4 linked regions of the Alligator mississippiensis genome follow. The protein of the gene in region 1 interacts with the protein of each later gene in a biochemical or structural test. Links are inferred from orthologs where the notes say so. Each region holds a gene or a part of one and is shown in the gene's direction. Other genes may lie near its edges.

Evidence for each region.
Region 2: the proteins of LRRK1 (region 1) and GNAZ form a complex in vitro, tested with the Homo sapiens proteins (2 studies listed by BioGRID and IntAct, with this or other methods). The link is inferred for Alligator mississippiensis from reciprocal best matches to the Homo sapiens genes LRRK1 and GNAZ.
Region 3: the proteins of LRRK1 (region 1) and CD2BP2 form a complex in vitro, tested with the Homo sapiens proteins (2 studies listed by BioGRID and IntAct, with this or other methods). The link is inferred for Alligator mississippiensis from reciprocal best matches to the Homo sapiens genes LRRK1 and CD2BP2.
Region 4: the proteins of LRRK1 (region 1) and GAK form a complex in vitro, tested with the Homo sapiens proteins (2 studies listed by BioGRID and IntAct, with this or other methods). The link is inferred for Alligator mississippiensis from reciprocal best matches to the Homo sapiens genes LRRK1 and GAK.

What each region holds. Positions count from the first base shown.
Region 1 is NC_081834.1:7,133,153-7,141,102, reverse strand, and holds the start of LRRK1 (leucine-rich repeat serine/threonine-protein kinase 1), read left to right. Parts: upstream 1-4,943; 5' UTR 4,944-5,043; intron 5,044-5,281; 5' UTR 5,282-5,379; intron 5,380-7,950.
Region 2 is NC_081833.1:19,939,217-19,946,751, reverse strand, and holds the start of GNAZ (guanine nucleotide-binding protein G(z) subunit alpha), read left to right. Parts: upstream 1-4,535; 5' UTR 4,536-4,674; coding exon 4,675-5,397; intron 5,398-7,535. UniProt on the Homo sapiens protein: Guanine nucleotide-binding proteins (G proteins) are involved as modulators or transducers in various transmembrane signaling systems.
Region 3 is NC_081830.1:657,840-665,144, reverse strand, and holds the start of CD2BP2 (CD2 antigen cytoplasmic tail-binding protein 2), read left to right. Parts: upstream 1-4,293; 5' UTR 4,294-4,473; intron 4,474-4,559; exon of another isoform or gene 4,560-4,800; intron 4,801-4,819; exon of another isoform or gene 4,820-4,915; intron 4,916-5,026; exon of another isoform or gene 5,027-5,139; intron 5,140-5,255; 5' UTR 5,256-5,269; coding exon 5,270-5,344; intron 5,345-5,471; coding exon 5,472-5,598; intron 5,599-5,935; coding exon 5,936-6,093; intron 6,094-6,345; coding exon 6,346-6,874; intron 6,875-6,957; coding exon 6,958-7,073; intron 7,074-7,305. Other genes in the region: TBC1D10B (TBC1 domain family member 10B), read left to right, coding at 386-997. UniProt on the Homo sapiens protein: Involved in pre-mRNA splicing as component of the U5 snRNP complex that is involved in spliceosome assembly.
Region 4 is NC_081826.1:153,692,430-153,700,050, forward strand, and holds the start of GAK (cyclin-G-associated kinase), read left to right. Parts: upstream 1-4,600; 5' UTR 4,601-4,615; coding exon 4,616-4,895; intron 4,896-7,621. UniProt on the Homo sapiens protein: Associates with cyclin G and CDK5. Seems to act as an auxilin homolog that is involved in the uncoating of clathrin-coated vesicles by Hsc70 in non-neuronal cells. Expression oscillates slightly during the cell cycle, peaking at G1.

The sequences.
Region 1 (7,950 bases):
ATTACAGGGAGTCGGCTTTTATCAAACGGTGCCCTTGAAAGCAATATTACTTGCCCAGATCATGTTTGAAAGACCTTGGGCTTTGTTCACGTGGACTGTTCCTGCATTGACGTATGTGGGCCTTACTTGGAGTAAATGAACACAGCTCCATTGACTCAATTGGCATTGCTCCTGCTGGTAGTGGGAGCAATGCCACTGAAGTCAAAGGAGTCTGTCAGGTGCGAAGACGATAGCCCATCTCCTGCTGTCGGGGGGAGCGTGGCTGTGTGTGCATGGGAGTTTTGAAGCACTTTTATCAGAAGAGTTACCTTTGCTTTCTCTCATGCACATGCAACCTTGAGGCAGGTGGAAGCCTGGCCCTGAGTGACATCAGTTGGAGTTTTCTTACACACTTCCACGGGGCCAGGATTTCACAGGCTTAAGATCCACGTGTTCTTTGCTGCCTGTCTCTTGGTGCACGCACTCTGCAGGCGCTGAGAGTACAAGTCATTGACTCCATAATCCACCTGGCTCCAGAGTCGCTCAGATCACAAGTCATTACTTCGGCACTTTTCACAAGAGGATTTTGCACTGCATCTACCGTAGTGACGTCACCACTGAGGGGAAAATGGAAACTGGAGCTGAAATCTTCTCGGAGGAGAGGAAAGATGGAAAGGCAGCCTAGTTTGCCTTGTGCTTCTTTCGCTGTCCTTTGGATTCCCATGCGCGAGGTTCATTTTGTTCAACCAGATCTGTTTTTGAGGTTGAACAAAATTAGAAAGCTCCCCTTCCCCTGCCCTCCCCATACCCCCAATGAATGTAGCTTAAACTAGACTCTTCAAAATACACAATGAGAGAGAAACTGCTCCCAGGCTGGGACTCTCATGTTTAACTCCCAGTATGTTTTTGAGAGAGAGAGGACCTGATCCTTTGGTAGCTCCATGGCTTGGTCCTCCAGGGTCTGAGTTGGAGGATACTATTGAAGAACCTGATTGAGATGCACCTTGTCTGAAAGCCCAGGGTGAGAAGGGAAGTTGCCAGTGGTGTGAGCTTACTTCCAGAGGCCCCAAACTGGATAGCACTGCCCAAGATGGGACTTTGGTTAGGGGGCAGGGGATGCTCTGATTGAACTGCCTATTCTGGAGAGGCTTCCCAGAGAACCGTTGACTAAGAGTGAAGGTAAGGAAAGTCTGATGGGCAACCACTGCACCCACACACTGTCAGAGCCCCGCTGGCTTCCACGCAGCACTGATGAGGAGGACCCCGAGGTGTCGGTGGGAGTCCTGCAGGTGGCTAAATAGCAAGTGTCAAATACTAGGGTCTTGAAATGGAAATGCAGGCTCGCTATGGCAGTGCAAGGCCAGAGCAAGAAACTATACGTGTCCTCCAACGTAATTAAGAATTACTCCCACGCTGCTATGCTGGGAGACCGGTTTACTTGGACCTGACCTTCCTTAAGAGCCAGCAAGCCTTGAAAGAAATGAGGCTTTCACACTTTAACTTCTTATCAATGACCTATCCCCAGTAGCTGTATGCTAGGGAGCATCTTTTCTCCTGTGAGGCAGGATATCCACAGATGAATCTTTCTCCCTGAAACAGAGAGACTTCCTCCTTCCTCCCCGAAAGTCCAAATGGGAAAACTGTAAATAGTCTTCTGTTTTTTGCAATGTGTAGCAAGGAAGCCTGAGCGCTCCCTCAGAAATCATTTTCACCACTGCTTAGTGAATGGGCTTTTAGCATCCAAAGCTAGAACTAGACACAAGGCAAGTATGTGATCAAGTCAGGCAAGAAGATTAGTAATCAATGTAGCTTTCTGTATTTCTTCGTTTGACAAACATCTTAATGAAATTGTATGTTTTCAGATGTCACCATATTCTTTTTAGTATGGTTTTTATACATATATATATAAAATACGTGTGTGTGTATATATATAAATATATACATTTCATCTTTCCTCCTTTTTTCCTATCAACTTAAAATAAATGACTTAGTAATGTATTCTCTTATTGTATAAATCAGGGTTTGGCTTGACACACTGAATTTTCTAAATTATATATCTAATAACAGTAAATACTAACTTTTAAAATGACCCACGAGTGGGTATATATTCTTCCATTGCACAGTAATGCTTTTTATATGAAATGCTACTTTTAAATATATATATAAATATATAAACTAGGTTACAGTTATTCTAATGTATTTTTATAGCTGAAGGTACATGGAAATGCTAAGTTTTAAACCTCATGTATATAATATAGAATATTGGGTATCTTTTTTGTAATGTTAGCTTTTCAAGTTTTAATAAAAATGGTTAACTTTGTGGTACAGATTATAGGTGTGACATTTAACATCTTGCCCAGTAAAAAAGTACGGGGGGGAAATCTGATTTCACTCCCAAAGGTAAGTGTGGCTCCCTTTGTATTAGAAGATATTGGAGTTTGTCCTATTATCAGGCCAAATGCTGCCTTGAGATAAGCTTTATGTCCTTTACTGAGGCTGTTGTGCTCCCTAAGACCTTCCCCTGACTTCCTTAGGCTCTGACTTGCTGGTTATCCCCTCCTTGCCCTTCACGCAGTCTGAATTTGGGCCATTGTCAACAGAATTGAACGTTGTAGATGGGTCAAGCGCTCCTGCTCCTAGAACAAAATGCCCCTGTTGTGCTATAGTAGCAGCAGCCTGTCTCCTTGAGACCGCGTGCTGTCTGTCCCCCTGGTATCCAGTCTTCCCCAGCGGGTTTCCAAGAGCAGAAAGTCGTGCTGAGCTCACAAAAGGGACAACCGAACACTGAACTACCTTCAATCGGAGAGCACCGTGTCCACGATGATACTGGATTACCAGCGTGGGTGAGCAGGGCACTTTCTGCCAATGCAGAAATGCGTTGGCATGGGCCAGTGCTGTATAAGTGAAATAAGACAGCTCTTCCAACCAGCTTGCCCCCTGTGGGGTCAAATCCTGCTGGCCTTACTTGCTAGTCCTATTGACAGCAGGCTAGGATTGGGGCTGCTCCAGCCTTTCTCCATCTGCAAGGTGGTCTACGTCCTCGCCTGGCAGAAGTGGGCATAGTTTGGGAGTGGAGACCCAGCCTTACAACTCCACACTGATTTAAAGGGCATAAAGCCCAAAGCCAGAGAAGTGCTAAGACTGCTAGTGGGGTGTTGGTTGTTGCCGTGTTGCTCTACAGACGTGGGCAGACTCGTGGGAACGCAACGCAGGAAGAAGGGGTTGCCATTAAGAGCGCATCTTAGCTGAGCATCTGGAGAAAATTCGTGCTTATCTACATCAGTCTGTCAGCACAGAGATGGGTCCTTGGTTTTATTCTGTGTCTTCAGAGAAACCTGCTGCAGAAAGAGTTTGCAGGTGGGGATTTGTCTCTATAAGCCTGTCTCAAGCAGGGAAAGACGGAGGCCTGAGGGGGTAGAAGAAAAGGCAATGAGTAAGAGACTGGGTAAGGGCAGGATTAAGAACAGAGATGAGTTTGCCTTGCTCCTCCTGGCTCTTACGACAGTAGCAGTTGGATTTGGGGAGTGGAGGCTGCCAGGAGAGCTGTCTGATGTGGTGCAGCTGGGACCGAGCTCCCTCAGCTGCAGGGATTTGGGGTCCCAGCTGCACCCTGGGGGCAGCATGCGGGTGCGTGGAGCACCTCCACATCCCTGTGGCTGGGAGATCACATTGGCTGCCATCTCCCAGCGCCCTGGAGGTGGCAGCAGCTGGGGTCTCCCCACCCACCTCTGTCTACACGTGCACCTTGAATGGGGGGTGGAAATAAAGGTTTTCCAGCAATAACTTTATACCTGATTGGAGTGTTTTAAGGTGGGAGAGATCAGTTGCAAGTGTAGCTGGTCTACGTTTTATGGTACGCTTGGCTGGGTAATTGTGCAATAAAGTGTGTGTGTGGATGAGAGACTGAGATGGTGTGTAGACACGTGTAGGAATAGAGTGGGTGTGTGCGGGGGTAATCGAGTGTGTGCGCACAGATGAGAGACTGAAACAGTGTGTACACATGGAATAGTGTGTGTGCATGTGTGTGTATGGGCACTACAGAAAGTGTGTGCATGTGTGTAGGCAAGTGTGTGAGTGCACAATAGTTTGTGTGTGTGTAATAGTGTGCATGCAGGCAATTTGTGTGTGCATGTGCGCAATAGAAAAAGTGTAGGCAACAGGGTACGAGTGTGCACAATAGTGTATGTGTGTGTATGCAGGCAATCTGTGTGTGTGCACAATAGAAAAGTGTAGGCAATAGGGTGTGAGTGTGCACAATAGTGTATGTATGTGTAATAGCGTGCATGCAGGCAATTTGCGTGTGCAATAGAAAAAGTAGGCAATAGGGTGCGAGTGCACAATATGTGTGTGTAATAGTGTGCATGCAGGCAACGTGTGTGTGCATGCGCGCAATAGAAAATGTGTGTAGGCAATAGTGTGTAAGTATGCACAATAGTGTGTGTGTAATACTGTGCATGCAGGCAATTTGTGTGTGCATGTGCGCAATAGAAAAGGGGTGTGTGTGTAGACAATAGGGTGCGAGTGTGCACAATAGTGTATGTGTGTGTAATAGTGTGCATGCAGGCAACGTGTGTGTGCATACGCGCAATAGAAAATGTGTGTAGGCAATAGTGTGTGAGTATGCACAATAGTGTGTGTGTAATACTGTGCATTCAGGCAATTTGTGTGTGCATGTGCGCAATAGGAAAGGTGTGTGTGTGTGTAGACAATAGGGTGCGAGTGTGCACAATAGTGTATGTGTGTGTAATAGTGTGCATGCAGGCAATTTGTGTGTGCATGTGCGCAATAGAAAAAGTGCGTGTGTAGGCAATAGCGTGTGAGTGTGCACAATAGTGTGCATGCAGGCAATTTGTGCGTCTGTGTGTACGTGTGTGCAATAGAAAAAGTGTGCGCGCGGGCAATAGAGAGAGCAGGAGCGCGCCGGGCCGTGCTGGGCGGGCCGGGGGCGGGCCGACGTGCGGCGGACACGCCCGGCCCGGCCCGGCCCGGCCCGGCCCGGCGCGGCGGGGAGGAAGCGGGGCTCTTCCGTGGGCGCGCCGCCCGGCTGCCCGGCCGCGGCTGCAGGTAGGAGCGCTGCGGAGGAGGGTGGCGGCGCAGGGCAGGGCAGGGCAGAGCTGCCCCCAGGGCCCTGGGCGGCTGCCGCGCGGAGCAGGGGCCCCTGGGGGGACAGCGCGGGGTGGGTGTCACGCAGGGGTGCGCGGAGAGCCAGGAACAAAAGCTCTTCTGGATGGAAACCAGAAAACGAGCTTTCCTCCAAAGCCCCCAGGTACCCCCCGGCTGACTCCCCTTTCTCCTCTTGCAGCATCCGTCCCTTTCCTCTGGACGTCGTTCCAGCGGCAGCGCACGGTGCCCAAGGCGCGGGCCCGCGTCCCGGGGAGCCGGCCGGTGCACAAGGGACCCGTAAGTCCATCCAGATCGGCGAGGCCGCCCAGGCGACGCCCGAGACGCCCTGGCAGGACCGCAGGCCCGGGGCCGGCGCAGCCTGTTGCAGCGCGGGAGGAGCGAGCGAGATGAGGGGCAGAGTTTGCGGGAAGGGGAAGAGCTCCAGAGCAGCCTGGGTGGGTGGGTGTCGTCCGCAGCAAGCGTCCGTTCAAAGGGAGCCGAAGTTTGGGCTCCTACCAGGTGCCACTTCCTAAAAGCTGGCAGTGGAAAGGAAATCCTTTAAATACAAAGGGAAACTACTTTGTATCCAGTAGCCTCTACAGTAACCCCTGGCCCTGCTCTGGAGTTTTTCGTGGTGCAGAGCAGTGACAATTGATAACCCCTGGTTTTACTTTTCGCACGAATCTCGGAGCGCCCCATAAGCAGTGATTAATTCAGCGCTGCGTCTCTACGCTAACCAGGGCAGTTCAGCCAGATTCAAAACGGGACCAGAGGCGTTCGTGGAGGGAAGGTGAATCAGCAGCCACAGAGCCTGGGAGTGAGGCTTCTGAATCAGGGCTTCCTGGAGCTTGAGTGCTGGAGGCTGCAAGCGAGAGGAGCGGTGGAAAAAAGCATCCCCGTTCACTCTCCTTTTCAGCATCCGCTCTCTGCTGCTGTGACACAGGAGGCTAGGCGACACAAGGGGCTTGCTAGCATTCCCAAGTCATTGCATCTTGGTTGTTATTTCCTTGAACGGGCCCAGGGCGGGTTACTTTTCATTGTGTCTCTGCTCCCGTGGCAGGAGCGGTGCTAGTGGCTGCCAGTATTTTATGGGATGAATTAAGCTCGTGCCACGGTCTTTCGGCAGGGAGCTCCTGGTGTTCCACGAGGAACCCGGGACTTCAGGGGACCTTCGGAGCCATCGAATCCAGGTCTGAGGTTGACAGATGTAGCAGAGATTTTGCCCTAACATTGCACCAATTTACCTTCTCTCTTGGAAAATACTTCTCTGCGTGGGGCTTCATCCTGCCTTCTGCAGTCATCCGATGAGCCCTCGGTCGGCTGGTTTGTTCATCCACCTCATTACCCCATGTTAGTGCCCATTGTAAGATGCCTTTAACTCTATCTTTGGCTTCGAAGAGGGCATGACATTGTTTGGGAAGGCAGTGAGATCTGACGGTTTAAGCAGGGGCCTCCTGATGTTGCTCTGGAGCCTGGACTTGGTGAGCGATATTAGGCAAGGCATGCCCCAGATTACCTATAACGTGGGTATGGCACAGAGGGCCAGTGTTATGGAGAGGCTTAGTTAACCGTTGTGAATTGCTCGGAGAAGCTGGGAATGCAAAGCTATTTATTTTTAAAAGCCTCCTGGACTTTGGACTCAATCTGAACTCAAGCTGTCTGCCTGCCAGGAAGTCTCCGAGGAGAAATTGGGAAGCTTGCAAATAGCATCTAAATCTGCTTTAAAATATATCGCTTCCTGCTTTAATCTGGCAGAGTGGATACTGCAGCACCTTGGGCAACATCCACTGGTTATTGTTGCGTATTCAAGAGAAAACCTTATGTCACAGCTGAGACATGGAGCAGTAACTTAAAGGTATAAAACATGACAGGGATGTTGCATCTTGTTCCCCGATCAGTAACCTGGGAAATTCAGGGCACATGCTGAAAAGAAATTCAAAGGTGGGAGAGTTTAAAGATGTGCGGTTGGATCACCTTAGCACTGCCTTGCATTGCCTTCTGCAATAACGCAGTTACGGAGAGGACAGGTTTGTATTCCTGGCCTCGGACGGGGGCAAACTGACTTCTTCCGCACCATGTATTCCAGAACGATTTCCTGCGGGGTCTCCATGGGGCAGAGCGAGGGAGTTAGTGGCACATTTGGAAATTGTGTCCGGGGCAGTTTTCACCCACCTGCAGTTAGTGGTCACTGCAGACTACACAAGTTGCAGCATGGCATCTAATTTTTCCCCCCCCATGATTGCTAACATTGTTTTAGGGGGAGGAAAATGTCACGTAAGACTGGATGTCTGCTGCGGGGGGGCTGTGGGGCCAGTCTCTGCTTTGCAAGAGGACGTATTCACCCTTGCTGTAATTCCTCAGCGGAGTTGTAGAGGATGATTTATTTGATGTTGCCAATACTGTGGCAGTGCCGCCTCCCACCCTCCCCACGCATACCTTCTAAACCTGAGACATCAGTAGGCGCCGTAGGGAGAAGATGGTCCTCGGTGCTAGTAGTTTTGCAGATGCCACGTTCAGTGATTTGGCAAATATTTTTGCCTTGTTCCAGGCTTTCTTAAAAGAGCAAAGCAAAGGTGGTGGTGTGTGCAGTGACCACTGGGTGATCTCGCACAGCGTCACATATTCACCCTCACCACAGCTTCTGATCTTGCTAGGGTCCCCAGGCAAGAAAGAGGAAGATCGATCGGGGTGAATCCAGGATTTGGCCATGCTGCTCAGGTGGCTGCACCCCCTGCTCCCAGCCTCCTCCCCCCACCCACTGGTGTGCAAAGACAACCCCACCAGAGACGCTGGGGACTTTTTTGTAAGTCCCCCAAAGCACGTCAGACTCCCCCCTTCCCCTCCAGGCTTAAAGGAACGCTCCCTCCC
Region 2 (7,535 bases), on another chromosome or scaffold:
CATCAGTCCTGTCTCATATACCACCGGGCAAAACTATTTCTGTGACGAATGTATAGTATAATATACATTTCAGTGAAGGTTTTTTTCTACAGTCGTGTGTTTGAATTTGCCAGAATAAACATGGTTATGCTAATTACTGCTCTATTAATACAAGCCGTATCATTTTCATTTGGTCCTGATCATTTGTACATAATGAGTTTAGTATGTGCCAAGGCCGTATCCAATTGCTGAGAGAGGGAGTAAAGGAGAGCAAGGTAAGTAGCAACAGCGGTGTTAGCACTCTTTCAGCAGACTAGATAGTGAGTAGAGAAGCACTGTGAACTTAAGGCCTTCTGTTAGTGTCTTTGCAGCACAGTATACTCCAAATTAATTCTCTGGGATTATATCACCTTTGTAAGACTGAGCCAAGCAAAACACTAGTTAAAATTTTTGGTTAAATAATACATCAATAAATGAAATGGCTACTTTCAGAAAGCTGTCACATTACATCCAGGTTTAAAACCCTGCCTTTCGTACTCTGCCTCATTTCTGTTCACACTTCCATTTTCTTACCATGTGGAAGTGTTACTTAGGGATGGAGAAAGAAGACAGTGGGTGACAAGTTTCATCTTGAGCTAGTTAACAGAGGAGCCTGCAATAATACAATTATCCAACACATCTGGAGGTGTGGAAGCAGCATGTGAGCAGGTGCTAGAGCACAGCAATTAAGCAAAAGAAAACGGGCATTTTTTTAAATAGCAACAAGGAAGCTATGAAGACAGTGTTATGGATATCCTCCGCAGAGCAGGTGAATAAGTAGCTAGTTTAGAAATGTGCTTTCTAACACTGGACTGGGAATGTGAGGCAGGAACCTGTTCAGTATGGGTCTCTACCATTTTCCTTCATGCCTTTTGTAGTCAGAGTTTTGAAACAAGTGCAGGATATTACTTACTCGGGGTAGATGAGTGGACACACTCCTCAATGTAGTTCTGCTGTTAATGCTAACCCTAACCCATAAAACAGTGATTTTAACCAGGGTGTCGCACGATGTTAACACTATGTGATTCACAGGATAAACCCATATATTTCAGCTAGAAATACAGAGTTATTAATTTCCTATACTCAAAAAAAGCATAAAAAATAAGAGTTGGCATTTTCCAAGGGATGCCCTGAGTCTAACATGGGGTGCCTTGAGTCTACAAGTTTGAGAACTGCTGCCATAAAGACTCTTTGTAAACTTCCTGAGGGCACTGGGTTTTTAGTGTCCACACTTATTCGGTCTTCCATCTCCTTTCAGCAGTCTGGGTCAAGCATGGATGTAAAGATGCATACAAAGGCGGCAAAAGCAAGTACAGCCTCAGGAAAAAGGATGCAATTGTCTGTCATCTGTTGAATTTGACTGGGTGCTAGTAAAAACTTTTGTTGCCACTCTTCACTTTTGTATGCACATTCTGTATGCCTCTAGTGGGTGTGTCCACACATGCAGGCACGTGAGCTTGCAGCAGCTCAGATAAGAGTGGTACAAATTTGCTGGGGATTTTTGCCTCGGCGCATGTGCCTGGACATGCACTTTGGTGTGGGCAGGTTGTGCCACTTGAGGCAAAAAAACCCTGTCCAGCTCCTCCTGGACCTGCTGCCAGGGGGAGCTAGAGCCTGGGGCCACCGGTGCTGGCCCCGGCAGTATAAAAAGCTGATGAGCAGCTCAGGGGGTTCTGCGGTGCAGCCAGTTGGTATTTGGGGACACTAGCCCCTTGTGTCAGCTGGACTGCTGAAACAGCCCTAACCTAGAGTGGCCCCTGCACCCTCTACCTACTGCAGCAGTCTGGCAGCAGGGGGCTGCTGCCTGGCTGTGACCTGCTGCCACCTGTGACAGCATCCACCCCCCATGGACCTGTGACCCCATGGCTGCATGCCTGCCAGACCCAGATGGGGTGCCCCTGCTCTGCCATCTGGGCAGGTATCCCCCAGAAGATGTACTTCTTGTGGTTGCCTGCTTTGAACTGTCAAAGTGTCTCCTCTTGCCCCCAAATGGCAAGAGGTCAGCCACCTCGTCTGCCCTCCAGCTGGATCCCCAGTGTTGGCTCTGGATAGGCTCCTCTGCATGGGTCTCACAACTTGTCTCACCAGCAGAGATCCTGGTGTTCTCTGTTAAAAAATTGCAAATCCTCTGATAAAAAACCCCAATTCTGTCATTAAAATACCCAAAATAGTGTTCTTCCACTATTAAAATGAAACACCACTATGTAGAGAGGGATCAGTTGAGCAGTGTTTTATTGATATATACAAGTTTAAAACAATTTGGAAGCCAGTGCCTCTATCATCATCATCAAATAAATTCTAACTAAATGTTTTGGCATTTATTTGGCAGGGGGTGGGGGTTGTCATAGAAAATCAGAGCTGTCCCTGCCCCTTTTGCTCACAGACGGCCCAAAGCCCCCCCCATGGGAGCCACAGGAGCCTGCAGCAGCCACAGCTCTCCCCTGCAGCAGCAGTGTCTGTGGGGCACTCGGGGCTTGCTGCAGCCAGAGCCGCCCCCCACCATGGCGCAGCGCAGCCCCGATTGCCTTGGAGCCAGCACCGCCCATGCTGTTTGTTGCGGGTCCAGCCTGGCTCAACACGGCATGGCACAGGGCTGTGTGCCTTCGGGCAGCTCTGGGCTACTTGGGCTGGAACCTGGGGCCCTGCCCCGCTCACAGGGACCACGTGTCATGCCAGGCCGTGACCTGCCTCCACGGGCCCCACACACAGCCAGGCCGGGCTGATTCCATAGAGGCAGGATGTGGCCCGGCGCAACGTGCGGTTCCTGCAAATGGCACCGGACCCCAGATGACGGCCCAAGCAGCCTGGAGCTGCCCAAAGGCACACAGCCCTGAACCAGGCCCCGCTGGGCCAGGCCCACAAGAGGCAGCACAGGCAGCACTGGCTCTGAGGCAGCCAGGGCCACGCTGTGCCATGGTGGGGCTCTGGCCGCAGCAGGCCCTGAGCATCCCACGGCCACTGCTGGACTGTGTTCTCTTTAATACATTTTGTAGTGTCTTGTCCTGTTTATATGGAAACTCTAGCAAATTAATTCAGGATAAAATTTTTAAAATCACCTAACATGCTTAAGAGACTTTTGAAAATGTCATATAAGAATGTTATTTTCATTGAAAAACAATGGCTTCTTCACCTTTAAAAGTGTTCCCCTGAACCTATTTTCTGAGTATCACATTTAGCAGGACACGACCTGGTCAGTAAGAACTCCCATAGGAGGATTGCTATTGGATATTTTTCACGTGTGTAGTGTATGAAATGCCTGCCATATATTAATGGCACATCAGTTTTACTGCAGTGAAACTGGAAGCAAGGGGAATAAACAAATAAATGTGATAGCTATGGGAAGCAAATCCCTTAAAGATTTTGTTTGACTAGTGCATCACTCCATTGATTAAGCAGGATGCAACAAGACAATTGTACTCTAAGGGGAAGCAAGGATTCCTGCAAAGATCAATAATTGTATCCTGTCATATATAAACCCTTTCACAAAACCTGGAGGCAAACCTAATCCCTTCCTTTTGTTTCATCATTTATTTGCAAAAGCTAAATGTTCCAACGCAAAATGGACAGAAAAGATGGGGGAGGGAGGGAAGTCTTAGGAGGACATTTGTGTACACAAATCTGACTGCCAGAAACTGATAGAAATATAAATACCAAGACTGGGTAAAATAGCTGTAAATCTATCTCACATTCTCCACTTTGGGAAAACCGGTCAGAACAGGGCTGTTCAGGAAAGGGCTGCCATCAGCTCTTGCTGAGGGAGAAATTGGGACACAGCTCAGCACTATTTGTTTGCATGTAGGTTTAGATAATAAAACACAGAAGGCTGGAAAGAAAAGGGAATTTGATTTACTATTGTTCAGGGCACACATTTTGTAAGGTCTTCAGACTTCAGCTGTCCCTGAATTTTTGCTGTTTCAAGATTTTTATTGCTTCTCTTTACACATTTTCCATCTGGGTTGTCTGTTTGGGATGATAAAAGGTTCAGAAATGCCAGAAGCAAACAAAAAGTGAATGGTTTGCAACAAGGAAACATAGTCCCCTCCCCTCTTCTTCTCCCCCTCCCGCCCCCCAATTTCATTAATTTCTTCTGTCTCTGCTTGACAGGTGGAGAGCACAGATTCACAGATCTGAACTGAATCAACCGAAAGAAGTGGGGGAGAAACAAAACAAACACAGCACCAGACTGTACCAGAGCTTCAGCTCTATCTAGCAACATCACCACAGCAACCGGAAAATACAATTAAAAGACAAGTGGGGCTAAAGCAGAACAGATGAAACTGCAGCTCCTTACCTTTGGACAGAAAGAATCAAAATAATTATGCAGAAAAGAAAAGGCTATTTAACTGATCCGGCCACACTGTGGAAAAGGGAAGTGTCCTTTCATTAATAGGAATGTGCCACAGGAAAGGGGAGTGCCATGAGATCTACTAAGGAGACTATCTCTGTGGTTGCATTTGTACCTGTTTTTGCACCCCTTCTGGGACTGAACTAGTTGGTATAGGCCTCTTGGGCCATCACTTATTGGATAGTGGGTTTTTTTTTTCTACAGGGTGCACCTGGCACGAGAATTGAAAGATACTGCAGTTCTTGTTCAGAGACAGAGAAGGAAAGAGAGAGACTCTTTAGTCCTCCTCTTCTGCAATAGTCAGCTGTACCATGGGATGTAGGCAAAGCTCTGAGGAGAAAGAGGCAGCGAGGCGGTCCCGGAGGATTGACCGCCACCTGCGCTCTGAAAGCCAACGACAGCGACGAGAGATCAAGCTCTTACTCCTGGGTACTAGCAACTCTGGCAAAAGTACTATTGTCAAGCAAATGAAAATCATTCACAGTGGCGGCTTTAACTTGGAGGCTTGCAAGGAGTATAAACCTCTGATTATCTATAATGCAATTGACTCTCTAACGCGTATCATTCGTGCTCTAGCCACCCTTAAGATAGAGTTCCACAATCCAGACAGAGCCTATGATGCTGTGCAGCTTTTTGCCCTGACAGGCCCAGCTGAAAGCAAAGGAGAAATTACTCCTGAGCTTCTAGGGGTCATGAAACGGCTCTGGGCAGACCCTGGTGTACAGGAGTGTTTCTGTCGCTCCAATGAGTACCACCTAGAGGATAATGCTGCATACTACTTGAATGACCTAGAAAGGATTGCAGCCCTGGACTATATTCCTACAGTGGAAGATATTCTGCGCTCTCGGGACATGACCACAGGGATTGTGGAAAATAAGTTTACCTTCAAAGAGCTGACTTTCAAAATGGTGGATGTGGGTGGGCAGAGGTCTGAGCGCAAAAAATGGATCCACTGTTTTGAGGGGGTTACAGCAATAATTTTCTGCGTGGAGCTGAGTGGGTATGACTTGAAGCTGTATGAGGATAACCAAACGGTGAGTACATCTTGCTCTTTTCCGTGTTTGCTTTATTTGTAATGAGTAATGTCTGAGGGCCCTACCCCGCTTGTCCTAGGCTCTATGCATATGCATAAGTTGCCCAGCAGTATACACTGTATCCACAATCTTTTCTTTGTGCAGTCACTAAGCATGAAACAGCTTCCATTTTTAATGCTGTCAACAGAAAGAGGAGGACTTCTTCAGCTGGCACAACAGTGCAAGATGTGTGGGTTAAAAGTTTTAACTGAAAAGTTCACAGAAAATGTTTGTTTATGTATTTGACAGCCTCTTGTTTGTAATCAGTTTCCCCCTATGGACTGTTTTACAGAATACAGAATCCCTATGAAATGTTCCAGCAAATGTCCTTTTAAATGGCATGGAAATTGTCATGAGAAGTCTGTTTTGTGGATAATTTTGTTACATAGCTACTTTTCTACTCATTGTCTGATTCACAGCTATTCCTGTTGAGTTCTCTTTGATACTAACATTAGCCTTCAGCTTGCTTAGCACACAGATATAGTAACTATAGAAATGTGTGCCACACTTGCATATACAGCAACATGTTTGCCTTCGCACTCAGCTTGCTTGACTTGACCATGGGATGGTTTTATTTGAATTTTTAAATTTCTTTTATTATAGTCCTATAAAAGCACAAGCTGTTTAAGGAAAAAATGAATGTGTTCCTAAGAATATTTAACGGTTTAGCTCCCGGGTCTTCGGTGACCCATATTTCAGTTTTAAAACAGCTATCCATCAGGAGAAATTAAAATGAAACCCATGAAAATATGTCTGCCTATCCAACGATGCACCCCCTTCCTACCAGTCCTTCACACATCTTCAGTTGCTTTGCTTTTGCAGAACTTTTTCACTGCAGGGCAGGCCCTGGAGCCCTTCAGAAGGCTGCATGTCCAGCTATTTCACAGTAGAAGCAGCTCCTCAGTGAAGCTAGGGAGGGACTTGTCTTAAGAGCGTGTTTGTGTACTAAGTTTAGAACCTAATTGAGATTCCAGGTTCTGTTTGTTCTCACGCCTTGCATTACAGTAAGCTGTCTTTAAGAAATCTTTTCTACCAGATTTAATTATCTGGCTTTGGTAGGTTCTTATGAAATATGCTCCCTATGGAAATGCTTCACTACCCTTAACTGGTATAACCACATGTATAGTATGGTTGTTACAGCTGAGATTTTCTAGAGAATAGGGTAATGCTGTGGATATTGTGTGTCCTAGCCATAGGTGACATGCTGCAAACTGATTCTGTAAGCTGTCTCAGCACAACACAGAAGCCTCCGCCCCCTCACCCCCCAACAATTCCCATTGCAGCTGGCACCGGTCACTCCCAGGGCCACTGCAGTGGGGGCTAGGGTGAGTGCAGACAAGTTGTGCTGTGCCCTGTGTTGCCCTGGGCTCCGCTTGCTGCCACTCCCCCCAGCCCCTGCTGCAGTGGCCCTGGGAGCAGCCAACACCAGCTGCCTGCATCACAGCACGCCACAGGAAGTTGGGGATAGGTGGAGCCCAGGCACAGGGGGACAAGCAGAGCACGGTGCAGCCCTGGGAATGGCATCCCTCCCCCCAGCCCTTCCCTAGTTCCAGCCTCACTCTCTCCCTCCCCACCTGGGAACATATCCCTATCTGTTAGTGCTGTCTGAAGCTTCGGTAGCCGTTTCGGCAGCCGAATCTCCAAATCTGAATCGGCCCAGTCAAATCGGGACAGTGATTCGAATCACCAAATCCAATCACTGCCCCTTGAATCAGCCAAATCTGAATTGAATACTTGCTGCTTTGCACAGGCCTAGTAACTGGCCACATGTTATGTGCAGTGCTGCAAAATTTAGTGCTTTGTAGAAGTTCTTGCTTGAAACGGGAACATTTTTTGTGGCACTACAGATGGTGCAAATGTGATGCTACAGGGGCAATTATAACACTATAAATGTAACGGGTCCAAGGCCTACAGGGAATTCATGTTACTGTGAATTTTATTTATCTACAGGTCACATAATAAATGAGGGTGAATTTGGGTTCTGTCTGACCCACAGTGAGGAGCCGTTAACATTTGTGTGACATTGCAGGGTTTCACAAGTACCAAAGTGAACCAGGGGTGCATGTGACTCCACCGTGAAGCGGCAAGCAGAATTTACT
Region 3 (7,305 bases), on another chromosome or scaffold:
CTTTGCTAGGGGCTGTGGGTGGTGTTGCTAGGGGATGCTGGGATGTGGAAGGGTTGCTAGGGGATACAGGAAGTAGCTAAGGGAGTCTGGGATGTGGGGGAGCTGCTAGGGGATGGAGGGGATTTGCTTGGGGATGCTGGAATACAGTGGTTTGCTAAGGGGTAGTAGCGGTTGTGGAGGGTGTTGCTAGGGGATGCTGGGACAGAAGGGGTTGCTACAGGGACTCATAAGGGATGCTGGCATACAGGGGTTTACTAAGGGGTACTGGGGCTCTGGGGAGTGTTAGGGGATGCTGGGATGACAGGGGTTGCTAGGGGACAAAAGGGGGCACTGGGGGCTGCTCAGATGCCCTTAGGACCCCCCATGATCCCTCCCTCCCCCCCAGGTGGTGAGCCTGCCGGTGACAGAGGCCCTGATCGAGCGGGAGAGTGGGGCCCAGCTCAAGAAGTGGCGGGAGACGCGGGGCGAGCTTCAGCACAAGCCCTCCCGGCGCCTGCACGGCTCACGCGCCATCCATGAGGAGCGCCACCGCCTCCACCCGCCCCCTGGCGCCAGCCCTGGCCTCCTTGGCCTGGCTTTCAAGCCCCGCCCCCAGCCACCTCGCCCCACCTTGGCACCCCTGGCTGCTGCTGCCGCACCCCCGGCCGCCTCAGGCCAGGTGGTCTCAGAGGGGCTGCACCCGGCCTTACCTTCCCCAACAGGCAACAACGCCCCCCTCGGGGGCCCCCACAAGGGGGCAGGGCCCCCCCAGCGGGACACAAAAGGGGTGGGCCCCGAGGACAAAAAGAAGCGCGAGAAGGAGGAGAAAGCCCGGCTGAAGCAGGAGAAGAAAAGGGAGAAAGAGCGGGAGAAGGAAGAGAAAAAGAGAGAGAAGAAGGAAAAGAAAGAGAAGAAGACTTCCTTCCGTCGCCGGGAGCCCCCGAAATCTGGGGGCGTGGTCCCGGAGGACGGGGAGCCCGGGGCAGGTGGATCCACGCTGCAGGACACTTACTTCTGAACTCTTCCCCTGCCCCCCGGGGATACAGGAGGGGCAGGAGGGGTGACGGACCAATTTTGGGGAGATCAGGGGCTGAGGAGACTCATGGGAAACCATTTTGGGGTCCCTCAGCTCCTGGCGGCCACCCATCCCCCAATGTTTTTCACCCCCTTGCTTCTCACTATGCCAAATGAGTCGTTTTCACTCCTCGTTGAACCAAGGTCATTCCCATCTTGCCCAGGATGGCTTCATTAACCAAGATGGTGTCCATCTGCTAACATGGCTCCTCAGCTTCTCTTCTTAGCCAAGATGGCTTCCCTCATCCAATAGGGCTCCTGCCTCATTAACCAAGATGGCTTCCCTCATTTAAGATGCCTTCTATCTCATCCAGGATGGCTTACCTACTCAGTCGAGATGGCTTCTCTTCTTCAATATGGCTACCATCTCATCCAGGATGGTTTTGTTAACCAGGATAACTTCCCTTATCCAATATGGCTCCTGGCTTCCCTACTCAACTGAGATGGCATCCCTCATCCAATATGGCTCCCGATTCAACCAGAATGACTTCATTAACCAAGGCAGCTCCCATCTCATCCAGAATGGTTTCCTTCCTCCAATGTGGCTCTCATTTCATCCAAGATGGCTTCTCTCATCCAATATGGCTCCCATCTCATCCAGAATGGCTTTCCTACTCAACCAAGATGGCGTCCGTTCTCCAGTTCAACATGGGTTCCCTCAGCCAATATGGCTCCCATCTTGTCCATCCTGGCTTCCCTGCTTACCCAAGATGGCTTCCCTGCCTCCAATAATGGTTCCATTTCATCTGGGATGGCTTGCTGCTTACCCAAGATGGCTTCCCTCCCTCTCTTTCCCCCAGGAGGGGGTCCCATCTGATCCAAAATGGCTCCCTCATCAACCAAGATGGCCGCCATCTCCTCCTCCCCACCAATGGGGAGGGGGGCGGAGGTCCAGGTACATCACCCCCTTTCCCGAAGGGCTACTGGGGCATTGCCCCACCCCCGCCCCAGTCTTAACGAGGAGATAATTGTATTAATAATAGTAACCCAATGAGGCCCCGCCCCTGTTTGTAAATAGGCCCCGCCTCCCTCCTTAAACTATTTAACCAGTTTCATCCCACCTCCTCCCCACAATCCCTAGCGACAGAACGCTCCTCCTTTGCACTGATATTGGCCCCCAGGGGTACCAATAAAGTTTTATTTGCCCCGTCCCTGAACCTGTTGTCTGCCAATGTGGCTCTCGATAAAGTTCATTGGTTCTTGAGGAAGGGGGCAGGGCCTGGCTGGGCAGCCTGCTGTTCACTGATTGGGCTCCCGATAAAGTTTGTCCATTCTCGTAGCGGGCGGGCTGGACTAGGCCCCCTTGTTCCCCAAGAGGGCGCTGGGCGAGGTTCATTGGGCGGCCGGCTCGAGACGTTTTGTCCGGCCTTGCGCTTCCGGATTGAACGTCAAGTGTTCTTGCCCGCCGACAGCATGCCCGCTGGCTTCCTCGTCGGGGGCGCTCTGTCAACGTGCTGCCCGCCGACGGTGCGTCCTCATTGGACGGTGAACTTTATCGCCTCCCGACAGCGCGTCCATCTGTACGCTTCCTGAGCGCCTCAGATGGTGTGCCCTCATTGGCTGAGGACTTTATTCCCCCTGTCCCCCTTGTTTGGGCGGGGAAGTTTCCCAACACTCCCTGTTCCCCAACAGCAGCCCTCCCCAGGAAGTTGGGGGTGGGCTTTATTGAGGCCTAGCTGCTGGCCAATGAGGAGCTTGCCCCTCCCCCAAAACGTAACTGGAAACCCTGCCCTCAGCTCTGGGAGCTCACCTGGCATGGTCACAGCTGTGAGAGGGGAGTGGGGGCTGATGGGATAGCTCAGGGCCTGGGAGGCCAGATGTCTGGGTTCTGTGCCCCTGCGTCCCATGTATATACGTGTCTTTACACATATATTATATATATGTCTCCATATTGTAATTATGTATACTCCGCCATGACTTAATTTAAAGGGACAGACACTGGAAGTCATTGACCTCACCCCCTTTGACCCCAATATCATTTGACCCCCGCCCCCGTGCCCCAGGCAGGCACATCAGGACACGCGATGTTTACATGATACGTCCTTTATTTCCTCTCCCCCCGCCTCGGAGATGTTCTGATTTTTATTTCTGCCCCCCCCATCCCTCCCCTTTCGTGCCTATTCTCCCATCCATTGGTTTATCTTTTTGTTCTGTCGCTTGGGTTTCAAAAGGTTCGTTAACAAAAAAACAAGGAAAAAAATACAAACGATATGAAAGAACCAATCTGCGAATTCAGTCTCTGTTCCACAGGGCGGGGGCAGAGACACCGATCCGGTGTGAGAGGGGTGGGGGGATGTCGGTTGGGTTGAGTGGAGGATGTGGGGTCTTGAAGGATGTTGGGTGGGGAGATGTTGGTTCTTCAAAGGCATTGGGGGCGGGGTCACCTGCAGAGCGGGGGAGGGGCTGGTCTGCTTGAAGGGGTGTTGGGGCTTCTGTGGTGTTGGCCACTGAGTTCCTGGTGCTAAAGTTGGGGTGACCACGGTTGGGTTTGGTGGGCCGGGGTTGGGCTGACCCAAGGTTGGCCTGGCCAGGAGACGCTGAGTCTTCAAGGGCATCGGGTGGCGGACAGTGCAGTTCCTTGGGGGGCGGGTGAGTCTCTTGAGTGTGGTTGGCTCTTTGAGGCCTGTGGGGTGGGGGGTCTAGAGTCACTGGGTCTTTCTGCGGGGGGGGCAGGAGCTCATTCAGCTCTGGTTCGGGGGTCTTTGGGTATGGGGTTAAGAAGGTGGGGACTGAGTCTGGGGGGCCACGAGGTGATGCTCTGGCAGCCTACTGGTGATGGTGCTGGAGATTGTGGGTCTGCGCTCCATGGGGAGGGGTTGGGGGACTGGGGGGGGGACAGGCAGAGCCAACCCTAGGCATGTGCAGGGCCCGGGGCATAGCAGCCTGTGCGGTGGGGGGTGGCACCCTCAGCACATGCTAATGGCGCTGTCTGCAGGCCCCCCTCCCCCCTCAAGGGGCAGGTCTTGAGTGGATACTTTGGGGTAATTGGTGGGTGGCAGGGCAGTATGTGTGGGATGGGGGGTCTGGGAGAATGGAGAAATGGTTGCACTGCCCCTTTAAGAGCTACTCGCGCTGCCGCCCTCCCTTGTTCCACCGGGCCCACTGCCAGGCCCTGATGTCACTTCCATTTGTTGCCCTCCAAAGAAAAGGCCCGCGGCCCCTTTAATTCCTGCTCACGCTTCCCCCTCCTATTGAAGCCAGAGAAGCAAACGCGCAGCGACGTCACTTCCTGTCCTGGCAGCGGCCGCACTCCTTGCCCCTCACCACTGAATAAATACGAATGAATAAATCGTCTACTGAAGAAATAAAAAACGGGATAGAAAAAGGGGGAGGGGCCGCACCCGGAAGCTGCTTCCTCCCGATATTTTTTCCAAGTCTCTTCCTAAAAATCAAAAACTTAAATTTCGAAATAATAATAAGGTAAAAAAAAGAAATGGGGGGCGGAATTAAAGAAAAGGGGCAGGGCGAATTTCGCTTGACGTCAGTTCCGGCCCGCACCCGAAAGTCGTATTCCCCCTTTAATATATACTTGGCCGGGGGCAGGAACCCCTCCAAGACCGGGTTTAAATCCCAGCAAGTAAAGATAATTCACGCGGGTGACGAAACCAATAAAAAGAGGCCGGCCTGAGCGTGTGACGTCACATCCGGGGATTCACACCCGGAAGTCGCCCATAAATAAGTTGTGGGCTTTTTTTAGTGTTTTCGAACAGTAAATCTGTTTAAATCCCTGAAACAGTAAATTCACTGGTGAGAAATGAAAAAAAGAAAAAAGCAGGGGGCTGGTCCGACGACGAGGCTTGAGGTCACTTCCGGGGTCAGGGGCTGGGCGACCCGGAAGTGCAGGCTGAGTGCGGAGTCCCGGGTGCGCGGGGCTCCTTTGTGGGGGGGGGGCGCTTGGAATGTTGGGGGCGCTCATTTGCATATGTGCGCGGCGGCGCGCGGGAGGGGCCTTTGGGGGTGTTTCCGGGGCATTTAGGGGCTCGGGGGGTCTTTGGAGGCCCTGGCACCCTCCGGGCTGGGTTGAGCGGGTGGCGGGGCACCCCCTGGCGGGGAGGCTTCCCGGCAGCCTCGCGTTCGCCCTGACCTGTGCGTGGGGCGGACAGGACCAAGAAGGGAGAGGGCTGGGGGAAGCAAGGGACTGCCCCCCCCCCCCCCCGGGGGAGGGGGTTGGGGCCGCCCCTCACCCCCATTCCTGCCCCCAGGGCTCTGGGCCGCCATGTCCAAGCGGAAGGTGACGTTCGAGGACCCGGACGACGACGACGACCTGGGGGGGCTGCCCAAGAAGCGTGGGGTGAGTGCGGGGGGGGGGGGGGGGCTCTGGGAGCCTGGGGCTGCGTCACCTCGTACTCAAGGTGGGGTGAAGTCCTGGAGGAAGGGGGCGGAGCTTGACGATGACCACGCCCCTTAACCGCACATAGGTGCAGGAGGCGGAGCCCGGCGGCCCCGGGAGCCGGTTCAAGGGGAAGCACTCATTGGACAGCGACGAGGAGGACGAGGATGAAGAAGCTGCCGGGGGCGGGATCTTGGCCCCGGAGGACGTGGAGGGTGAGTGGGGGTCAAGGGGCGGGGCTTGCGGGGTCAGGGGGCGGGGCCTGCACTGGTAGGCCGCAACCAGCAGCCAGAGGCTCCTCGCCTCTTGGTAGCTGGGGGCGGGACCTGTTGTGAAGGCTGTCCGTCACCGGTGGGTGGGCGGAGCCTAGTCTGGCGGCCCCTTACTAAGGACCGCAGGTGCAGTGGGTGGGTCTTCGTGGCTGTGGGCGGGGCCTGGGATGGTTATCCTGTGGGCGGGGCTTACCAGCGGCGCTGGATGCTGTCTATCACAGACGTGGGGGTATTGGGTGGGCTGGCGGGTGGGCGGAGCCTGAAGCCGCCCGTCACGCAGGCCAGGAGCCGGGCTCGGTGCTGGAGGAGGAGGGGGTGCGCTTCACGCCCTTCAACCTGCGGGAGGAGCTGGCCGAGGGCCACTTCGACGCCGCCGGCAACTACTTCCCCCGCGGCGACGACGGGCCCCCAGACGCCTGGCTCGACTCGCTCGACTGGGTGAGGCCTGGCATAGGAGTGGGAGACACTGCGGGGCAACGCAACGGCACTGGGAGGCATTGGGGAGAACTGGGATGGGAGGAGAGGGACACTGGGAGACACTGGGGTGGGAGGAGGGGGCTTTGTAGGGTACCGGGAGGAACTGGGACAGACTGGGATGGAAGATGGGGAGCCCGGGGAGAGGGGGTGGGAAGGTAGGAGGGAGGTCGCGGGCTGCGCTGGGCCCTGACCCTCCCCTCCCCTCCCCCGCAGGTGACTGTCAAGCCGCTGCCCGCCCGCCGCCGGGGGCAGTCCCAGCAGGGAGGGGGCAGCCCCGAAGCGGAGGGGACGGAGCCCGGCCGGGAATCCCCGCCCCTCCCAGACCCCCAGGCGGCGCTGGAGGGGCTGGTGGAGCTGGTGGGGCCGGGGGAGACGGTGGCTCGGGCCATCCAGCGCTTGGGCGGGGGCGGGGCCCGGCCCAGGGGGCGGGGGCGGGGCCGCGGGCGGGGCCGCGGGCGGGGGCGGGGCCGGCAGGCAGAGGTGGAGCCAGCACCGGAGCCAGAGCCGGAGCCAGAGCCGCCCGAGGAGGTCGAGAGGCGGGGCCGGCTGGAGCGGCTCTCGGGATTGGCCGACCTCATGGTGGCACGGGGCCACTACGGCGTCTACCAGGAGACGCGGGAGCGCCTGGCCCTCCGCCTCCGGGCCTTGGCCCCGCCCTCTGCCCAGGCCACGCCCACTGGCCCCACCCTCGACATGTTTGCTGAGGAGGTGGATGAGGCGGCTCTTCGAACCCAGGAGTCTGGTGAGCCTGGCGGGGCGGGGCGGGGCGGGGCAGGGGGCGTTGCCTGTGAGAGGGCGGGGCTGAGCTGTGCCCTCCTCCCGCAGGGGGCGGGGCCGTGGCCGTGGCGGAGGCGGCGCTGGACGAGGTGCTGTGGGAGTACAAGTGGGAGAACACGGCGGGGGCGGAGCTCTACGGGCCCTTCAGCAGCAGCCAGATGCAGGTGGGATGGCTCCGCCCCAGACTCAGCCGCATCCTGGCGGCCGCGCCCCACAGCCGCCCGCTGCATGTGACAGGCCGGGGGGCCCATGCTGGCAGCATACAGGGCGGGGAGGACCGCACTGGTGTTGCACACGTGTGGGGGGCCGTGTTGATGTGACGTGTGAGGGGAAGCCATGCTAGTGGGGGGCACCTCCATTGATGAGGCGCCTGTTGTGGGGAACGCGATGGAGGAC
Region 4 (7,621 bases), on another chromosome or scaffold:
CTGCCCTCATGCTGCGCTGTGGCTGCATACGTGCATGGGAATTTATCTGCCAAATTACTGGCCTCATCAGGCCGATTTCTGATACAGCCAATTCTCTATATGTAAAGGGGGATAGTTCGTATGTTCATCTGTCCATAACACTCTTTAGGAGTGAATAGCTTGAAAACTGTAAGAGAGAGAACATTTGTGTCTTCAGAGAAGTTTCTTTACTAAATCCTAGCATTTGTTTAGCAACCATGTCAGGATGATCCCAACTTCCAGAATTGGGGAAAAAGTCAGGGGCCAAGGCTGTTTCTATTCAGCTCCTCCCAGAAGGGTGCTGGGAGCCCAGCATGATGGGGAGGGCAGAGGTAGGGGCAGCTGAAGAAAACTGGGAACTGGGCAGAGGCATGAGGCAGTAGGCCAGCAGTAGCAGCCCCATCCTGAACCCTGAGCAGGAAAGGAGGCACCCGGGGCGAACCCAGCACGGTGGGAGGGGCCGAGGGAGGGGCCAGTTGAGGAAAAGTGTGAGCTGGGCAGAGGTGTGAGGCAGTGGGTGAGCAGTCACAGTCCTGTCCCAAGCCCTGAGCAGGGAAGGAGGTGCCTGAGGGCAGCGCAGAGGAAGCCCTGGGGCGTGGGCAGCTGTTGCGAGGCACGGAGCTCGCCTGCCCTTGCCCAGCAAAGAGGCATGCAGGTGGCAGCTGGATGGCAGCATGGACAGATCTGCCTCCAGCCCGCTGGACAAGAGCAAGTGCAGGAAGGGATTGGTATCTTCAAATGCTCAGCCTACTTTATTTAAGTTTTATAAATATTTAATTTATATAATATAAAAAGTCAAATCTGTTTGTTTTCGTTAATCGAAATTCATCTGTCATTCTTGATGGGCAATTCTCTGGTTTTCTTTATATCGGTGAGGATCTGATATCGGACCTATCGGGTGTACATCAGTATTGGTGCACCTCTAATGGGTGAACTCGTTTTCCTTTGCCAAATATGAATAATTCCTCATGCAAAGGCTACCAAGCTGGTCTGACAAATTTCAAATCCCTGGTCCAAAGCACAGAGATTACAGATTTTTTCCAGAAAACATTTTTTTACTATGCATGAAACAGTCCATTTTCCTGTTATTTTAAAAAGGATTACACCTCTGGCTGAAAGAAAAACTGCCTTGAAGCAGACATCTGGCATTCACATTTTCATACATGGTTTCATAGGTTGTAGGGTTGGAAGGGACCTTGACAGATCATCAAGTCCGACCCCCTGCCATGGCAGGAAAGAGTACTGGGGTCAAACGACGCCAGAAAGGTGTTCATCTAGCCTCCTCTTAAAGTCCCCCAGGGTAGGAGCCAGCACCACTTCTCTTGGAAGTTGGTTCCAGATCCTAGCCGCCCTGACTGTGAAGTAGCGTCTCCTGATGTCTCGTCTGAATCTACCCTCTGCAGCTTGTGACCGTTATTTCTAGTCACTCCTGGTAGTGCTCGGGGGAACAGGGACTCCCCCAATGCCTGCTGGTCCCCTCTGACTAGTTTGTAAACAGCCACTAGGTTCAGGTCCCTTAGCCTCTCCTAGTAGGGCCTGCCCTACTGCCCCCTGACCATGCGGGTGGTCCTCCTCTGGACCCTCTCAATGCTGTCCACATCCCTTCTGAAGTGTGGCACCCAGAACTGGATGCAGTACTCCAACTGCGGCCTGACCAGTGCCGCTTAGAGGGGGAGGATCACCTCCTTGGACCTGCTTGAGATGTATCTGTGGATGCATGACAAGGTACGGTTAGCCTTCCTGACCACATCCCCACACTGTCGGCCCATGTTCATTTTGGCATCAATAATAACTCCAAGATTCTTTTCTGCCTCTGCACTGATGAGAAGGGAGTTCCCCAGCCTGTAGGTATGCTGCTGGTTCTTCCTCCCTAGGTGCAGTACCTTGCACTTGTCAGTGTTGAAACCCATCCTGTTCTTATCTGCCCACCCTCTAAGCAACTGCAATGAAATCTTATAAAAAAAAAGTTGGGGGCAATTTTAATTATAGACTACATAGGGATACCATATTTATTCAAATAAGATGAGGTCTTTCCTCCTCTTCAGCATGGGGGAAATAACCTCTCATAGTATATTAAAGTATAGGCTAGCCAAGCAGCTACTATGGCGCTGGAAGGAGCCAAAGTGGCTCATGTGGCAAGCAGGGGGTGCATGGGAAAGCATGGGGAAGGAACTTGTGGTGTAGGGGGAGCACAGGGAAAGGGTGGAGGGCAGAATATGGGAGAAAGGATGCAGTTTGGCGGGCACAGGGAAGGGACATGTGGAGTGCTCCTTTTCCCATGTCCTTTCCCTGCACTCTCCTCACTCCATGTGTCCCTTCACCCACACATGGTGCACGCCTCTCCAATGCACAGCATGCCTCTCCACCTGTGTTCCCCCCACACCACAGGTCCTTTCACCGATGTTCCGCCCACACAGTGTGCCCCTTCTCCGTGTTTCTCCCTGGACTGTGCACCATTTCCCCCCACATGGGGGAAGGGGCACGTGGTACGGAGGGGAATATGGACAAAGGGCTGGTGGGGGGTCAGGCCCGGCGCTGAAACAGTGGCAGGGAGGTTGGGTGGTGGGAGCAGGCCCAGCCCCGCAATGGTGGCGGGAAGGGTGGGTGGGGCAGGCCTGGCCCCATGGCGGAGTGGGGGAAAGGGGGAGCAGGCCCGGCCCTGAAGGTGCAGGGGGGTAGCCAGATGCAGGCCACTGTCCCCACCCACACCCCCGCCCATCATTCTTGATGGGCAATTGGCTAGTTGTGAATAAAGGCTCAGGTTAGAAGTCAGTGCCCACTCCCTTTCAGAGGGCAGCCATCTCACTGAGCCATGTGGAGTGATCATAGGTAGTGACCTACTGAAATCACAGTTTTGCAATTCTCCTGGAAACTATGATTTCAGCCAGGCTCTGGGCTTTTGGCAGGCTCCCCAAAAACAAAAAACTTACCAAGAATAAAATGCTGTCTCTTTCTGGGGAGCCAGCCGTCCTCATGGCTGCTGTGGTTGGGCTGTGCAGCCCACTGTGGGGAGGGAAGGGAAGAAGGACAGCTGCAGGGCAAGATGGCTGTCATCCCCGCCCTTCACCGCTGATTGGCTGCCAGGGCTGTGCATCATTCAGCCTCACCACCGCCAGCAATCCACAAGGGGGAAGGGTGGCATGATGGACAGGCCTCGCAGCTGTTCAATGGCAAGGGGAGGGGCCACATGATGGACCACCCTCACAGACAATCAACAGTGAGGGCTAGGGCCACTGTGGCTGTTGTTCCATCAGGGGCTTGCTGTGCTTGGCCAAAATGGCTGCCGCGATCTGCACACAAAATTGGCCAACACCTGCCTCAAGTTCATTAGGCCCCTAGTCATAGAGTTGTGGTCCTCTGCTCCCACTACTACAGAGGACTAGCAGTAATAACACTAGATGGATGCTAGTACAAGAAGCCCCCACAGAGGAGCTGGGGTAAATAATGCTACATTAGAAGTTTCTGGCTAGTTGAAAGGGATATTGGAAAAATGAGAGAAAACTGCCACAACCTACGATGTGATACGAGGCTTAACACTTCACCTACTGGAGTTGCCAGAAATACAAGGTCTCTGCCTACTCCAGAAATTTGACCTTGATTAACAGCAACAGACAAACCATACAATATCTGTATTTTCATAGGTTTGTGTGAGGCAGTCAGGCAAACAGACACTGGCACCATCACTGACTCTGTTTATTCTGACAGCTCCTGCACGCATCCCCATTTGTTTGCAAAAAAGAAGTCAAGGAAGAATTAAAGAGGATTGAGAAGATGGGAGTCATTTCCCAAACTCATCAACTTGCAGACCAGTACTGAAACCTAATGGAAAAATCCACATTTGTGTGGATGTTACCCAACGTAACAAAAGTGTGTACAGAGGAAGAAAGAGAAGTGCTTTCTGCAACGAAAGGTACGTTGGCTCAGTTGTCAGAAAATAAATCAAATAAACGAGATGCTGCTGTGGGGCTTTGGCAAGTCCAGCTCGCTCAAGCGTCTAGAGCAGTGGTGCTCAGCTTTTGGCCCCACGGGCCAGCTGAGCCTCGCAGGGCCCACCTGCAGGTAGGACTGAACCGTGTGCTGGAGGATTGGGCCTGGGGGCCCAGCGCTGCAGTCTCCGGCCCCCCACGATCGAGCCCTTGAGCTCACCTCGCTCCGAGACCCAGTTTTGTATCCCGCTGCACTTACTGTCGCGGCTGGCACGCGCGGGCTCTGCCTGCACGTAACGAGGCTGGAAACCTGCCACCTGGGCCCCCGCAGCGTGACAGGATCTCCCGGGTGCGGTCTGCGGCGGGGACTGATTTCTGAACTCATTCTTCGGAGCAAATTCCTACTGCGGCCAAGGAGGCGGGCAGGAGCGTCAGGGGCAGCTCCAGCCTATAGCCCCTTCCCTGGGTGGGTTCGGCCATGGCTGCGGGTGGGAGCGCGGGCACCGGCAAGGCCAGACCTCCCGGGGGCGGGCAGGAGATGCAGGCGCCCCGCCCCCAATGCGCGGGCGGGACCCCGGGGCAGCAGCGGCGCCGGCCTCGGCCCAACCCGCGCTCCAGCCCCTCGTGCCCAGGGTGGGGCATAGCTGCCGGGAGGTGCAGTGAGGTCATAAATGACGTCAGCCTCCCGGAAGTGGCTGACTAGCTACGGTGGCCGGCAGGGATCAGTGCGGTTGGAGGTTCGCGGAAGAGGCGGCGGCAGCAGCCCGGCGCTAGCCCCGCTCCCCGGCGCGGCGCGGCGCGGCGCGACCATGTCGCTGCTGCAGTCTGCCTTGGACTTTCTGACGGGGCCCGGCTCCCTGGGCGCCGCCAGCCGCGACCAGAACGACTTCGTGGGGCAGACGGTGGAGCTGGGGGACATGAAGCTGCGGATCAAGCGAGTCATCGCCGAGGGTGAGAGCGGCCGCGCCCGGCCCGCCCCCGCCCCGGCTTGTGTGCGCGCGGGGGGCTGCCCCGCCCTGCCCCACCTCGGGGTCACGGCCCGCCTCGGGCTGGGCTGGGCCGGGGGGTGACCGGCCAGGGAGCGATCGCCCCGCGTCCGTTGGGCCGGGGCGGGGGCCGGGCCGGGTGGGCTCCTGCCGGCGCTGGTGGAGGGGCTCGTTGGCTGGGCCGGAGCGGTCTGCCATCTGCTGCCGGCGGCCAGCGAGAGCCTGGCTCTCCCTGCTCCTGTGAAGAGTTAAAATACGACTGAAACGCTTTATTTCTACCCCAGCTTTTCTGTTCCGGCTCCAGGGAGGGCTGGATTCATACATAGCCTGTTAGGGACCTCGCAGATCATCCAGCCCAGACCCCCCCCCTCCCCACCCAGTAAGACAACTAGGGTTAGGTGACCCTAGCAAGGTGACTGTCATGAAAACCTTCAGGGTAGGTGACTGCACCACCACCTCTGGAGGGAGTTTATTTCACAGTCCGACCCTGCCTAGGGGCAGCTGCAGAGTTGTGGGGATGGAGTTGGGTACGAGAGATGCATAAAAATGTAGCTCGCTATGAAAACATCCAAGGTCCTGGCCTGGCAACAAAATACACTGCTTTTTGTGCCAACTGTTTCAGCTGTTCACCAAGTCTGTGCCTTGATGTCTGTCCTATCAAGTAGGAACGCTATCAAATTAATCTTAAAAGTCTGGTATAATGGGGAGGACTGAGAAGAGACGCTTGGTTATCTGCTGATCTAACAACCAGGGCAATATATATCCTAAGACGACTGTCAGCAAGGCTGCTTCGTGCCTTGTTACTTGCCAGAGGTCAGATGCAGAAATACCTTCTTGATTTGACTGTACAATAACTTGACTCTAGGAACTAATTTGCCTGGAATGCCCGGTGAAGATTAGCACTGCTATTGTCTGCAGTTTCCTTTTGAGTCACACGTGTATCTGCTTTGAAATGCACTTGTTTGATACAAAATACTGCACTTTTTGCAACAGTAGTAAGGTTGCCTATATTTAATGTGCAGGAGTTAATAGAGCTCATGGAGCTTTAACTCTTGTAGTCTTGTATTAACATCCATGTTTCTTTTTTTTCTCTTTTGAAGAGAAGGTTAAAATGCTAATCTGAACACTTTTGTGATTATATTTCTATAGCTGCAGGGTGAGTTTATGCACATTGTTGCTGCTGCTAAGTGGGGTTTCAGTAGTACCTTGCTGCCTTATTTAGTGTTAGGTCTCCTTTTTTTCACAGAGAAGAAGTTCCCAAGCTGTAGCTGTTTTTTCATTTACTCTGTTCTATAGTTTTCTAGTGCCTCAGATACTTAGCCATTCATATGTAATTTTCTCTCTCTCTCTTTTTTTCCTTTATAACTTTTGGTGGCTAGCCACTAAAGAAAGTTTCAGTTCTCCAAACTGGATTGTTTTGATCATGTGGGCGAAGGGGTTTCTAATTCCCTACCCCAAAACAAAAAATAAAGTGGAAAGTGTTTTTTGTTGCTGACTTATTATTCAAAGGCAAATTAGATCTTCTTATAACTTTTAATTACTGTTGGCTTTGGTCCAAGCATGGAAAATTCAGCCAAAAAGGATAATTTTTCAGGTTGTGATCAGTAACTGAAAACAGCTAAAATGTAAGTTCCAATTTTGTCTTGCGTCAGTATTTGCTACTCCATTTCAAACAATACTGCCATCGTTTTGTCACAGAGTATAACACTTGTAAAATATTTTCAAAGGGCTAGTTGAATGGCAAGTTTTTTATATAGCTGTTACGGCTTATTCTGTAAAGTTCCAGTCAAGGGGTTATTGTACTAACATCTAGGGAACAATAAGGAAGAAGAAAGGGCAGGAAGCTACTTGAAAAATAAATCTTTGGTGTTTAGTTCTAGTTCAGGAAGAAAGTTTTCATACTTAAACAGTTCTGGTACTGGCCTTTTTTCTTGTATTGGGGACAAAATACTAATTAGATCACTTTGAGCACTTTCCTATTTGTGCTAGCTTTTCTTAGAGGTTTAGCTTTTTGTAACTGCAGCTTAAAATTCAGTGTATTCAGGTCAATGACTTGGCAATCACCATATATTATGGTATCTTAATTAAACTTGGGGCCTAGGGACTTACCTGTGGTTTATTTCTGCTAACAATGTAACTAAATTAATGCTGACCCTGATTTATGCAGTATTTGCATTGCTGCAACTAGAAAAAAACAGCATGAATAAAACATAGGCTTGCCCCTCAGATGGTTCTCATTCCAGCTTTTTTTTTTCCTTTCGGAAAGGGAAAAAAAAAAACAACTTGCCAGAGTCAAGTTTTACACGAATGTGTCCTTTGCATCTGACCTCTGTGCAAGTAACAAGGCATAAAGCAACCTTGCTGAAAGCTGTCTTTTGAAAGCTCTTACTCTAATCTTTCTAAACTTGTCCAAAAGCCATTTGCCTGCAAAAGCATCAAATACATCCCTGACACCAGAAGATGTTTGGCATTTTTCTGATGAGCGTGCAAATTTCTCCTGGGTAAAATATTCATGCTGGAATATCCTTTTTGTAGATGCACTGAGGATTGTAAATAGTTTCTTCCTCCTGCTCCTGCCAGACTTTAAGTTAGGAATTATTTTCTGACCTTTGAACATCTTTCCTGTTTTGTTACTAAGAGACGAATTGATCTCTCAGCTCTGAAACCATTTTTAAGAAGCCTTTTCGTGAG